3 linked regions of the Drosophila melanogaster genome follow. The protein of the gene in region 1 binds, or shares a complex with, the protein of each later gene. Each region holds a gene or a part of one and is shown on either strand. Other genes may lie near its edges.

Region 1 (3,320 bases):
TGAATCCTAATCCTTTCGGTGGTTTCCAACAGCAGCAGCAGCAACCGCAGTCGACGGGAATCTTTGGCCAAGCCGCAAGCCAAAATATGGGCGGAATGTTTACTCAGGCTTCTCAGCAACTACAACAGCAGCAGCAGGCAGCTGCCTCCGGATTATTTGCTCAAGCAGCAGCATCTGCATTCCCTAATCAACAACAGATGCAGCAGCAGCAACAGATGCAGCAGCAGCAACAGATGCAACAGCAACAAATGCATCAGCAGCAGCAGATGCAATAGCAACAAATGCAGCAGCAACAACAATTTCAAATGCAACAGCAACAGCAAATGATGCAGCAGCAGCAGCAGCAGCAAGCTCAACCGACCAACGAAATCCAGTCCTCAGTTTACAGTCGCATGGAGGATCTCAACGAGCAGGAAATCGAAGCATTCAAGGCGGATCAATTTCTACCAGGTGCCTTGCCATTCAAACCGCCTCCACGGAATCTTTGCTGAACCAAACACTTAATGGTACACTAGCGTATAATGTATATATTTTTACAGAAGCTGATATAATAAAATAATTAGAACTTATAAGCTAATGCATCATCATATTGAGTCGTTCCATGTTTATGGAGTAGACGGCATGCGAGCCTATCAGGTTGCGATCCCGTAAGGCCAGTTGGCAGTCCTTGAGGGTGATTACTGTGCGTTCGGTGGGTTGGCTGAAAGAAACAAAACCTAAGTTTGTGTTTCACATGAAAATCTCATTATTATTCAGGAGCTTACACTTCTTCGCAGGCGGAGAGGAAGGTCACATCGTCGTTCTGTCGCCGCATAAAGTTGGCCGTATTCAGTTCCTTGTCCAGTTCCAGCGGCGTGTCGTCGACCTTCTGCCGGGTGACGGTGTTGCGCAGCGAAGGATCACGCAACGGAGCACCTACATCGTAGTAAAAGTTTCCCTCGCCGCTGGTCTTGTAGTGCTTTCGTTTCTTGATGATTGCCGATAGTAGATCCTTGAGCAGAACTTGCACGGCCATGGCAACGTACTCGGCGACATTGTCGTCCACGGAGACAAGTCCGATTTCCCAGGCACCGATCAGAAATCGTCCCATAATGAATCCCGCGTCGGGCAGGAAAAGTTCCTGCGCGCAGTACCGCTGCGACTGAAGCTGTTGCTGTTGCTGGTCCGACGGAATACCGATCGTGGTTGGCGGACGAATGATTTGCATGTTGTCCTCGGCTACAAAGTCCAGGACGTCGCTGAGCTCAAAATTAAGGCGTTCGGCGAAGGTGCGGCAACTTCTTTTGCGCCGTTTGCTTCGGTTGCCACTACTGCTGCTGGTCTGGACGGCCGGAGGATTCTCCAGGGGAGCAAAGGCGTCGATCTTGTTGAGCAGGGCGAGCAGGAACTGATTGTGCAGGTGCAGTTTGTCAGGTGTTAGGATTTTCCGCGACTCCGCATCGAATTCCTCCTTAGTCCAACGGCTCCGAAACCAATTCTTCATGTTGGCCCGGTAACGCTCCCAGTTGTCGCCCAGAGCCACCACTAGCGCCTCCTTGGTGGCCAGAACTCTGTCGGTAAGCATTTTAGTATTGGGAATAACAACTAAACAGGAAAATCCAACTGTTTGCGAATTGCTATATAAACAAATGAATGCAGCTGATTCGAGTGACCGTTCAAAGAACGGCTGAAAATACCAGATACATTTGAGATAAAAACCGTTATTTTTGAAGAACCCTTTAAAAAAATATTGGTTTTAATCTTTAGTGTTCACAGTTTTTATTGTGTACAAGTTAGTTAGTTAAAATATAAACATTAAAGATAGAGCCCACGCCATTCACACAACATAAGATGATAATATTTGCGAAGCTATTTGATCATTAAAAAAGTAATAGAATAGAATAAATATCTTGGTTAATGTTAAAAAATTTAACATAATTTAACATAAATTGTCAATACAATGAGTATTGTATATAAATGCTACGCATAAGAACATACTTAATATTGAAGGTAAACATTACACTGAAAATAACTATGGTTACATAAATATGGTATCGGATTTAGAAGGATAAGGAAAATTCTTTTAGCCTAGAAACACTCATCCTAATTGACGCGATCCCATCGCCACACGGTGCTGTCGTCGCACACGCAAACTAAAATGGAACCGTCTTTGGAGAAGGAAGTCTGTCGGATGGTGGAGTTGCTTTTGGGATGAACCAGCTGGCTACACTTTGTTAAATTGGGATCATTGCAGTCCAATTCCCAGACAAATGTTGTGCCCAGTTGATTGCCCAAGGCCAGAATCTTTTGCCAGGCGTTGAAGGCGAAGCGTACGAACCAGATTTCCGTAGAAATTGGTCAGATAGGGGAGCATAGCGTCCAATACACGTGGGTCCATTGGAGTGGTGGCCTGGGCATCCAGGTAAAGTGGTCTACCCTCGGTCTGTTCGTTCTTTATGTTGAATCGCACCTGTCTCTCCCGGAATTCTACGAACGAATACGATTTTGGTAAGCGGTAACTGTGCATCTTGGAGGATCCGCTTACCTTTGGATGTGGCGGCTGGTTTAGCCGCTGTCCTGGAGGAGGTGGCCTCGTGTCTAACCACATTGGCTAATGCATTCGTCGCCCGGGAGCGGAGGACCTGCGCCTGGATGCGTCCCAGCACTTTTTGCATTCTGATGGAATCCTAGAAATTCTGGTGTTAAAATTCGTTATCACGGATTTCACAATCAGTGGGACCGTATTCGGCGGCACGAGATATACCAAAGGACTCCGGAATTCACTTTAAAATTATCTGATTCGATTATGCAGAAGCAAGTTTCTGAATTTCTTTGAACATATGAAAAATGAATAGCATCTGTGCAAGAAACCAATATTTTTCAGATATATTCGCACTTAATGTATAATTTACAAGGAACTATATTTTCAAAAACCAGTTTTCATCTTAAATATGTTTGCTTACAAAATTATCTTAATCATTCAGCGAACTTAAGTTACGAATTCACGAAATTGCGCGCATAGGCACGGTATATTTTTCTCAGTGAGCCATAAAATACTCAAAGAATACTCAATACGCAAAGTAAGACAATTATAAACAAAAGTACAAAAGTTGAAGCAGTTTTGAAATAATAAATATAGGAAATAGGCAAAAATTAAAATCAAATTTAAATATGGTTGTCTGCCGGTTCTTTCAACAAGGCTCCTGCCGCTATGGCGCAAAGTGCAACAACGAGCATTTCGATGTTAAGTGAGTACATTGATATTAAAACTATGCAGATGAACTAATAACTTAATTATTTTAGGCAATATCTCAAAGCCGACATGGAATCCAGCCTCAATG
Region 2 (5,173 bases), about 11 Mb from region 1:
GTGTTCAGCAACAAGTCCACCACCAGTGACTTCGTTTCCATCTTCCTGAACAACAGCGGAGTGAACTGCTTAAATCTGAATGGGGATATGCTGATGAAGATCCGTCTTGGCCGCTTCGAGCAGTTCCAAAACGGTCACTGCGACGTCCTTTCCACCACCGATGTGGGAAGTCGTGGCCTGGATACCACACGAGCTCGACATGTGGTCAACTTTGACTTTCCGCTCCACGTCTCCGATTATATCCATCGTTGTGGCAGGATCGGTCGGGTGGGCAACATGGACAAGGCGCTAGTCACGAACCTGATATCATCGCGCCGCGAAATCGACGTCGTCCAGCGAATTGAGCACGCAGCTCGAACAGGTGGACTTCTGCCGGATGTGAATGCCAACATCCGAAACATTATCAACAAGCGGATTGTGGCGGAGATGAAAGCTGCAGGAATGCCCGTGCCCGCTTTGGGCTCACTAAATGGACATACGCCTCAGGAAGAAGCCTTTTAGTTCTGTGTTTTTATGTATTACGAGTAAAGTTGTATCACCTTTCGGAAGACCGAAGAGGAAGTCTAAAGTAAACGAAGAGTTTTATTGAGATCCCCAGGTCCTCCTGGACCTCCAGAAGGTCTTATAATACTTTCCCAAGTCCCTTTCAGATCCTTAGGTAGTGATAGCCACTGATGGGCGACCACTTTCTCACGTTGGTCAGGGGCTTAAAGAGTTTTCGTTTGGCGATCAGGATGTCGGAGCTGGCACCGCCACCCCCACCACCGTTCGCTGCCGACGAAGGCGAGTCTTCGGAGTGGGGAACAGTCGCAACCTTCGGCTTCAGCAGCACCGGGCGGCATCCTGCAAACTTAAAGCGGATGTTGCCCGCGCAGTTGAGCTGAAGATTTGGTGACTGAAGGTCGGGGAAAGCCTCGCAGAGCGTAGGCTTCGGTTTGAGTGCCTTGCTAGGATCGTCTCCGTGGCACATGGCTGCCGCAAGAGTACTCCATTCCAACCGACGCACTCCCGGCACTGATTCTATTCTGTAAGCGGGTTGTTTGGCCTTCACATACCGTCTGGTTACCATCTTTTCGTAGGCTCCTGCAATGATTTTTAGTTACTTAACCGCTTTTCATGGAACACATGGGTGTTTCTTACGCGCATAGTGGACCAAGAAGGGCTGCAGAGCAGCACCGCATCCGTACTCCAGCCATTCATACAGGTATACGTCATCATGACCGCCAAGGAAGATGGCAGCCGGAGCCAGATCCGGCCACAGGCTATCCGGGATTTCCTCGACGCGCAGTTTGTAGATGTAGGGAATAAACTCACGAAAGGCATATTCTCCCAGGGCAATGAGACCGCGCACTGCTCTACTGATATACCTAAAGTCTTAATTAAGAAATCCAAAGATAAGGATCCAGGCTAACAAATTGTAAGGATGATTTACCTCTCTCACTGCTGACGTGGCGACCTTCGAAGAATCTCGCTAGGCGTCTCTTGATCAAAAACAGGCACTCTGCATGTAGGTAACCACTTTGAGATGCCAGCTGTCCTATAGTTTCACACAGCTCGTCCACCAGGCCATTGCCGACTGGACAGGCAAAGTAGCTGGATAGGTGTTCCGCCTCCGGCTGAGGATTCAATTCCTCCTCCTCCGATTGCAGCTTGTAGATTGTGTGTTCCATGGTGCTCTCACCCGGAAACATCTGGGGTTCTTGCTCCTGTTTCTCTACTCCCATGACCTCCGGATTTTCCTGGGTTTCCGGATTATGGCACTGGTCTGGCTCAACCTTTAGTTCTTCTTCAAACTCCATTTTGATGGAGGTGGTTTGTCCCGGATCTGGGTCGACGTGTGGAGCTTTGATAGTTTCGTAAGGTGCCATTAGCTGGCTGACCAGTACCTCGGCCAGGTTGAAGTACTCCGGCCGGCAGGCATTGTGATTAGCAGTGGCGTTGTAGTTGCATGCTCGGAGCAGTCGCCAGCATCGCTGGCTCAAATGGTCCTGCTGCTTAAAGGCTAGCAACTGGACCATCTTACTCACAATCACTCGGTAGATAGATCCCATCAGGGGTGTCTGAAAAGCATGGCAGACGGCGGCCGTCTGGGATTTGCTGTCCGCAAAAAGGGCTGCCGTCACAAGACTCTGGACACACTGTCTTAGTTGGTCCATGTGCTTATCCTCCACTGGGCAGATGCTCTGAAAGTCTGCATCATCAGGTGTGCACAGATTGACTTCCTTCTGAAACTCCGCGCTCAGCTCGAAGATCTTATCCGAGTGAAAGTAAAAACTGCCGTCATAGTCGATCCGGTCCCAGTCGCTGTCCATCGCACCCAGCATAGGCGGCACATCGGCATCTTTTAGCACTTCGTTCACCAGGTCGTATGTCACCACTCCGCCCGAGTGGCGCGAGTATATTTTGACATTCTGAGAGATCAAGAGGTTAGAGGGATTAAAGAGGTGTATTACGGTCGACTTACATTGATCAGCTCCCAGACTTTGTAGGAGGCATCTTCCGCCAAACGGGCGCACACATCCTGGGAGAGTTCCACATCGGTCTGGTCGTGCTGCTCCCAAAAGATCTTGATGCTGCGCGGATCGAAACCAGCATAGCTCTTCTGATGACCCTACAGTAAAGAGAGCTTGTACCATAAGAGGGCCCTGAGATTGGCATCCTTACCATTCGACTGGAGTTGCCAGAGGCTTCTGCGCCCGCGATGCCGCCTGCAAGTCCGTGCCCACCACTTCCTGCTACCGCAAATGAGGCGTCAAACAGATTGTAGTTACCCAGACTAGATGTTGGCGTGGTGGGCGTTGTCACCATGTTTAGGTGAGTGGGCGTGGCCGGCAGGCTGCCCACTGCAACGCCCCCGCTCACTGCGGATGCGATGGAGGATGATGCGGATGCCGACAGGGAATTCTTTCCAGTCAACTCCAATTTCGCCGACTTAGATCGCGACTTAGTGGACTTTTTGCTGACTTTGCTGTGCGATGACTTGTTCAGCTCGTCAGTATTGCTGGCGCCAGAGGTTTTCATCTTCTTGGTTTTGTATAATTCATAAATGTATATATTTTCAACAGTTGGTAAATAAACAACGAAGCTGCACCACAAAATAAACAAATCTTGCCAGATTATTAACCCAACTATCGATGGTGCCAACGACTTATCGATATATTGATGAGCACTCGACTGTTTTCAAGCCAAGCCCGATAACACCAGTACTGATAAGAATAACAACATAATTGGTATTCGAATTTAATTCCATTTATTTAAATGCTATAAACACAATGGCAGAAGCGGCAAATGTGCGCCAGAACCTTCAAAATGTGCCGTCGATCTTCGAAATTTCAGCGTCAGAGACGCTGGACAACCTGATTTACCCGGCACTGAGCAAGATATTCGACTACTTTGGACTACGCCTGGACTTTAAACTATGGGGGAGTTTGAGGATTCAGGAGGAGCTGTCGCCATTGCTGACTTGGCTGCTGCAGTACCTGTATCTGCGCAAGAGGGCCTCCTCTTTCGGTGAGAGCTTTTACGGATTGCAAAGGACGGTCACAACCACTGGGGATCTGCTGAACCGCAGGCAGCAGTTCGCCTCTGCCACACTGCTAACCTTCATGCCTTACGTGGAGCGGAAGCTAAGGACCAGGATCACCAGGCACGAGGACACCAGTCCCTGGGAGCAACGCCTTCTAAGCGCATTCCATGCTTTCCATGCCGCCAAGGCGGCGCACACATTCTTTTACCTCGTAAAGTACGCCTCAAACCACTCGCCCATCTTCAGATTGTTGGGGCTGACCCTTCGCTATCCCAGCGAACCTCCCAAAGAGGATCAGTGGACCTACGTGGTCCTAAAGATGCTGGAGGTCTTGGCCTTCTTCCTGCAGTTCGTCCAGTGGTGGTACTCCAACGACCAGCGGCGGAAAGTGGGTGGAACTCTGATAAATCCCGAAGCGATGCCGAGAAAGCAGCTGCCCAAGGAAGTGCAGCAGAGCCTTCCCCAGCGGGGAGAGTGCCCAGTCTGCCTGCTGTCCATCCAGACGCCCACTGCCTGCTCCGTTTCCGGCTACGTCTTTTGCTGGAAGTGCATCGTTAGCCACATGAAGGAGCACGGCACCTGCCCGGTCACCCACTATCCCATCAGTCTGGACGACCTGGTGCGCATCTACGAGACGTAACGTTAAGCATTCCTTTTATGTTTTTTGCTTGTTTTTGTTTAATACATTTTATAAGGAATTGGGAACTGTTTACATCTCGCTGAGGAAGAAACCCAAACGTTGGTCGTAACATATGTAGACGTGGTAGAAGTCAAAGTAGACCGTGCATAGATAGATAAAGAAGCACTCACAGGAGATGAACTCGCCCATACCGAATACGGAGTAGGCTGCAGAGGATCCGGGGATTAGAATTGTAGACATCCTTCCATTCGGTTAGGTTCTACTCACCCAAGGGAAAGCAAAACTTCTGGTGTATAAAGTAAAAAATCCACATGACCACCACCCAGACGTAGTAGGTGAGCACCAGACCGCTCTTCAACCGCAAGGAGAATTCCTCATGCAGCTGCCCAATCCTATCGCTCATATAGTACTTGGCGCACACAAAGGAACCTGCCATGTAAATGGCACACGATACGAATAGCGACAAGGCGATGGTTATGTGCAGCAATGAGTCGCCATCCTCTTGGGGGAAGGTGCCCCATAGCAGTACGCTGGAACTACTGACAGCCATAATGATGGCCATCAGGCAGCCGAAACCTCGGACCGGCCTGCGCAGATTCCTCCGATAGAATCGGAACTGCAGCCATGCACTGGCAATGAGAAATGGGAACTCCAGGTAGCAAGCCAGAGCCCACACTTTGTGCTGAGACTTGGCAGCCGCCGATGTGGAGGGAAAGATGTTGAAGGCATTACAGGTGGTATACGTGGTGGACTGGAAGTCCGTGGTGATGGCCATCACCAGGTTGTACACCATGCAGACGGGCAATTGCAGAAGCCCCAGTGCGAGAATCGGACCAACTGGGATGCGGAAATGCCGCCTCGCCTGCAAATCCTTGATGGAGCTGGGCAACAGCTTGGCTTGATCCTCCACAAAGTGCAGCATTTAAGAGCAGGTTAATCCTAGGACAAGTCGGTCAGACAATCTTACACTTTCTGTTATCCCTCCAGACAAAGTGAGGCACTCGAAC
Region 3 (5,307 bases), on another chromosome or scaffold:
TTATTGGCAAAGACTTTCAGGTCTGAATAAAGTGACATTGTGATACTAGACCTTCTACTTCCCAGTGCGCTGTGGAATCAGACTGCTGCTGTCGGCATGCGTAGCATATGCATGCTATTTATTATTTATTCATGTTCTGCCCTCTTTTATTACGCTGTATAAGTCACTATATTTAAGCCAACCGGATAAAGATAAAGCTTTTGTTGCATCCCGCTGGGTCGTAGACAAGCTCATTTACATAAGTTATGATATTTGATTATAGTTGTTCAATTCATTGATTGCATGTAACTTACGATCAGAAGGCTGATCACTCCAACATTATTTAAAAATTAAGTTCAATGTTCTTTGTTCAAAAGGGCTGTGCGTATGTCCAAAATCATAGAGGTTCCAAGCTGTATATAAATGTATTTACACAATCCTAAACCTATATGAAACTACCTAAATTATTGAAGAACAGTAAAATGTCTCTTAATGCATCGCTAATTAAATTCAACCAAAAAATTCTATATTACCTTTAGATTTATTTAGTTTTGCACATTTTTAGGTATTGGGTAAAATGTTAATATATTAAAAAAAATCACTTCAACAATTGAAATTCGATTCGAATGCTCGTCTTATTTTTAATAGTTACACATTTTTCAACTTTTGTGGAAATTGGCCACTCATTACTTATGCCATGACTTCGTTTTGAAAGACATTCTTTAGCTGTGACCAGTAGACGATGCAGGTAAAGGCATTACACTGTAACCAACTCGTTTTATTCCACAAGAAAGCTACCAGGATTGTTAAATCAAAAGAATTATTTATATAAAGAATTGTTTCACACGATAGTAACAATAATATACAACTTATTACAAAATAAATTATTTTCAAACATAAGTCGTCACTAGAAAGTCTAAATTCGGGCTGAACTTTCAACCGTCTTCTTTAAGTGCCGATGCAGTAGAGCGTCTTGCTGGTCCCGTAAAAAACATCGACCAAGCGCTGGCAGGAACTATTGACAGTAAGCACACGATTCGTTGTAGCTGATGATGAGCTTCCAGCACTACTGTTGTCACTGTGGAGCAACCAAAATAAATCATCATTACCAATATTAACAAATTGCTCCGTTTCCATTCCACAAATATAACTAACCTCATGGGCGATAGTTTCTTGATGTCCCACAATCGCAAGGTACCATCGCTGCACGCTGTGGCCAGGTGCCTATTGTGCGTGCTCCAGGAAAGAGAACTAATGCTCGCCGAGTGATCCTTGAGCTCAGCCAGCTGTGCTCCGGCGGCCAAGTCGAATATACGCACCTTCGTTTCCTCTCCGGCGGCAGCCAACATCTTTCCATCTGGGCTAAACGCCAGCTGGGTCACCGCCTGACGGCAGTCGGCAAAGACACGCATCAATTTTCCGCTGGTTGCACACCACAGGCGAACGGAGTGATCTGCCGATCCTGTGGCTATGTAGTTGCCATTCGGATGGAACGCAACGCACTGTCAGAAAAAAAAAATATATATAACTAAAAGTTCAAAGACATTTTTGGTTAAACCAACCTCAACATCCTGTGTATGCCCGGCATAAATTATGAGCGCATGTTCCTTCTCTAGCGACCAGAGGCGCGCACTCAAATCCTTGGAACCCGTTACCACGTATTGGCCCACTGGACTTTCGTCCAAGCACCAAATTGGGTAGTTGTGACTTCTGTATATGGCGGCGCAATGCAGGTTGTGGGCACGCCAGCACCGCATGGTTGCGTCTTTGGACACACTATACATGAGTGGGTAGTGGGCGGAGAAGCGCACATCGGTGACTCCTTTTGTGTGACCTCGCAGCTGAAATCCGCCGTATTCGTTGCTAATTAGAAAAAAAAAACTTTAGTTGATTAAAAATTGAAAAATAAAACCAATACTAAACCTGGAAGATGAACTTACTAGGAGTTATCAGCATATTTGCAATGTCGCGCCCTGTTGCGTTCCCGTCTCTCCTCCTCAGAGCACTTGACATCCTCATCGCTGCTGTCCTCATCCGTCTCCTCCTCTTGATTCGCGCAATTGTTCAGCTCCCAGGGACACCGCTTTTGCGGATAGCGTCTGTAGAAGCTCTTGCCGCGGCAGTAGCTCTGGTTTAACTGCCACAGCTGTACGGCAGAATTGTCGAACCCGGCTAACATGTGGCACTCACTGGGATCCAGATGGGCGGAGGTGAGGCCCCGAGAACGTTCACTGATTCTGAGAAATCGCGGCAACTCCACCTGAGACTTGAGTATCTGTTCAGTGGCCGATTTAAGGGTGTCCAAGCAGGCGTCTATATTCAGTTGTAATTTACTAAGCTCTGCAGATTCATCCGTTTCTACCTCCTGTTTGATGTCTGTTTCTAGCATAATGTTTGGCTCCTCAGCGGGTCGTTTTCGGTTCGACTTTTCAGTGAGGGATTTGCTTGGTCTTATGTCTCCGCGGGTATTAAGGGTTACTGCTGGTTTGGAAACAACATCGTCCTCTCCATCCTCACCTTCCAGGTCATCCGTCAAGCCAAGCAGGTGATCCTCACTAAAGGCGCGCTGCTCATTCTCCACTATATGGACATGCAACCAGGTGTAGAGTAGGTTCATAATTAAAACGTGGCCCCGTCGTTGGAGATAAGCGCATATCCTATTAACAACTACGGCTGTAGTATGTAGTTCGTATTTCGAAGATCGAAAATGGGCCACTGTGTCATCGGACTCTGCTGCCTCCAGCCGTGTGTAGCCACTCAGGGTTTGCACCAGGCGCATAAAGTAGTCCAGTTCCGTGTCCCCAGTGTCCTGGGCTTCCTTTGCGAAGCGTATGTTAAAAGTGGACTCATTGGCCGTAGTGGAGCATCCGTTGATCTTGGTAGGTGGTGGTGCATCGTACATATCCACGGGGGCCACCAAGTGAGCATATTTGCGCAACAACTCCACAGCGCCACGCGGTTCGCGAGCCTTGAGCAGATCCAGATAGAAGTGGCACAGCATGGGTCCATAAAAGCGCTTCATTTCCAGACGCAGCGGTTCGGCCTGGGCCTCCACGAACTGCGAAAACCGACCAAATTGCTGGTCCACAGTGTGCTGGTTGTTGGTGATAACCTGGACATTTGAAAAGGTGAAGCTATTGCCACCGTGCAAATCCGTATCCAGCATTTTGTTGACAGCAAACTGCTGTTTGTTTTGCAGCAGCAAAAAATCCGACCGCCGAAATCGTTCGTTGCTCTACGGGTTTGAATATTTGAACACTCTGAGGAATTGTATATTTGAAGATTATTCACTTACCACGTAGTTTTTCTGCTTCAGCAGGAGTCCCACGGCGCAGCGTAGCAAATCGTTTTTGGAGGAGGTCTTTTTGCTGCTCGCGCTCGACTTGTTGTTATTGCTGTTGCTGTAGACGGGCGATGCAGCATGTGCGTGGTTGCTGGCGCTGGGCAGGCTCATCGTTGCGTGTTAGCCTCGCTTTGTTCCGTATCCTGATCCCGTCCTGCAGTGCGTCCGATATGCGTTCGATTATAGTGCTGACAGCGGAGATGGGTTGTCCTATCGATGTGCATTCATCGATTTTAAGCGGCTGCAACAGCTGTTCTTTCAAAATTGTTTTCGTCAGTGATGGCTATTTGGCTTCTCTTTTATAACAATATTGATATTGAAATATTTTAATTTTAAATTTATTTTTACATTTTTAACTTATATTTATATTATATTTTATTTATATTAACTAGCTTTTTATTTTTAGCTCTATTATATTCTCTATTCTTAGCTAGTTTATTTGGCTATTGTCACCACTGAAGAAAGTCAGCTGTTTGTGTTGTTGGATTCCCGAGCGCTCTTGACAATTTCTTGTATTTTCGCTGCGGTATCTCAGTTCGAGTTTTTACGTGATATAAAACAGTACCTGGTCTTCAAAAAACGAGCCATTATGGGCACCACGACAAAGTTTGTGAACGAGTTCTGTGATATTATCGATTCCTATGGCGGGCGAGATAAGGTAACATAGAAGAGCCGCACAGCCGAGTAAATTTCCAATTAATTGAAAACACACCTGTTTGTTTACGTTTGAACCGAGTGTTTTTCCCAATTCGTATGCGCAAATTTAAAAAAATGCATCGTGGCATTTTGACTGGTTTCTATTTCCTTTTTGGACTGGTCCATTGAGGGGCTCGCTTGAAATCGAAACTGAACCAACAGGTTTCCATGTTGTTGCTGCATCGATGTTGGCATTGGTCTTTGGGTCTCGAACAAGGAAGCCACAGCAGTTTGGACCTTGCCTTACTTCTTTCTGATTCGCAATGGATTTTGTATTTCGCTTTTCGCTTATCAGTCGCAGTTCGGCGGCGATCGAGTCAAGATAATGCTCAATACTATAGCCGGCAAACCTTTAAGCCGCTACCAGATAAAGCGGATAATTCGTTATGAACGAAAGGTTTGTTTGGACTGCCGCCCATCAGGAGACACGCGATCCACACATTTCCACCATCGCGAGTTTATATACCCCTACAAGGGGTGTATACAGTGCAGACAAAGAGGGAATCTTGTATAGTGTATCTCTATTTTAATAGAAAAATCGAACCTTGAATACGATAAAATATTGTTCAAAGTATTTTAGATTTATTAATTAGAACAAATAATTTGTTATACTTGATAACCATTTGAAAATATAATATAATATATTATGTGGCTGTAAACAGCGAATGGGGTGGTCACGAACTTTGGAAATACTATAGGATATTTACATAAATTAGTCGTATAGCGACATTAGTATTCCTCCGAATTGCATAACTAATTCATTGATGGCAAAGCAAGCAAACTGAACCATTAATGGGTAAACAATGAAACCACCCACAACTCATTCCGGCCAGGACGGACGACCAGGAGCACTCCACTGGCGGCCATCACACGAGATGATTGTGGCATTCGTTGTATTCTTTTTATCGCTGATAGTATTTTATCTGTTTGTGACAACCAAGCAATTCCACAAATTGCAGGGCTGACTGGCGATTGGGGTCAGGTAGAGGCAAAGGTAAACAGCGATGCCAACTCTCGTGATAGAGCAAACACACGGCTTAACGAATTGCGCAGAACAATTATTACATATATGAAATTAAATACCTATTTCAGGTGATGAAGGCATTGTGCTACAGTGCCAAACTGGTGGCTGGCTACCATGCCAAGCGGAATCCGGAACTAGCCAAGCGATACGCCACCGCCAGCTCAAGGATCTCAGGTGCGAGAGCCACACTGCGTCTCATCGACGACATACCCATGATCCAATATGCTTTGGAGTATGGCTTGGGCGAGAATGAGCCCGATCGCGT

What was found. The genes of interacting proteins can lie anywhere in the genome.
Region 2: Ada1-1 (region 1) and Saf6 share a complex: the UniProt entries of both Drosophila melanogaster proteins name them as parts of the spt-Ada-Gcn5 acetyltransferase (SAGA) complex.
Region 3: Ada1-1 (region 1) and wda share a complex: the UniProt entries of both Drosophila melanogaster proteins name them as parts of the spt-Ada-Gcn5 acetyltransferase (SAGA) complex.

What each region holds. Positions count from the first base shown.
Region 1 is NT_033779.5:11,995,148-11,998,467, reverse strand, and holds Ada1-1 (transcriptional adaptor 1-1), read right to left. Parts: upstream 1,660-3,320; 5' UTR 1,565-1,659; coding exon 765-1,564; intron 701-764; coding exon 574-700; 3' UTR 503-573; downstream 1-502. Other genes in the region: Qtzl (quetzalcoatl), read right to left, coding at 2,225-2,466, 2,525-2,654; CG18789 (uncharacterized protein), read left to right, coding at 3,151-3,227, 3,283-3,320. UniProt on the Drosophila melanogaster protein: Component of the transcription regulatory complex SAGA, a multiprotein complex that activates transcription by remodeling chromatin and mediating histone acetylation and deubiquitination. The SAGA complex predominantly acetylates histone H3.
Region 2 is NT_033779.5:812,811-817,983, forward strand, and holds Saf6 (SAGA factor-like TAF6), read right to left. Parts: upstream 3,141-5,173; 5' UTR 3,022-3,140; coding exon 2,665-3,021; intron 2,612-2,664; coding exon 2,465-2,611; intron 2,412-2,464; coding exon 1,433-2,411; intron 1,375-1,432; coding exon 1,141-1,374; intron 1,084-1,140; coding exon 647-1,083; 3' UTR 504-646; downstream 1-503. Other genes in the region: Dbp21E2 (DEAD box protein 21E2), read left to right, coding at 1-501; Pex12 (peroxin 12), read left to right, coding at 3,273-4,166; CG15880 (uncharacterized protein), read right to left, coding at 4,236-4,372, 4,434-5,088. UniProt on the Drosophila melanogaster protein: Component of the transcription regulatory complex SAGA, a multiprotein complex that activates transcription by remodeling chromatin and mediating histone acetylation and deubiquitination. The SAGA complex predominantly acetylates histone H3.
Region 3 is NT_033777.3:23,254,567-23,259,873, forward strand, and holds wda (will decrease acetylation), read right to left. Parts: upstream 3,522-5,307; 5' UTR 3,434-3,521; coding exon 3,275-3,433; intron 3,215-3,274; coding exon 1,920-3,214; intron 1,843-1,919; coding exon 1,542-1,842; intron 1,482-1,541; coding exon 1,135-1,481; intron 1,058-1,134; coding exon 928-1,057; 3' UTR 504-927; downstream 1-503. Other genes in the region: Pex11c (peroxin 11c), read left to right, coding at 4,344-4,415, 5,111-5,307. UniProt on the Drosophila melanogaster protein: Component of the transcription regulatory complex SAGA, a multiprotein complex that activates transcription by remodeling chromatin and mediating histone acetylation and deubiquitination. The SAGA complex predominantly acetylates histone H3.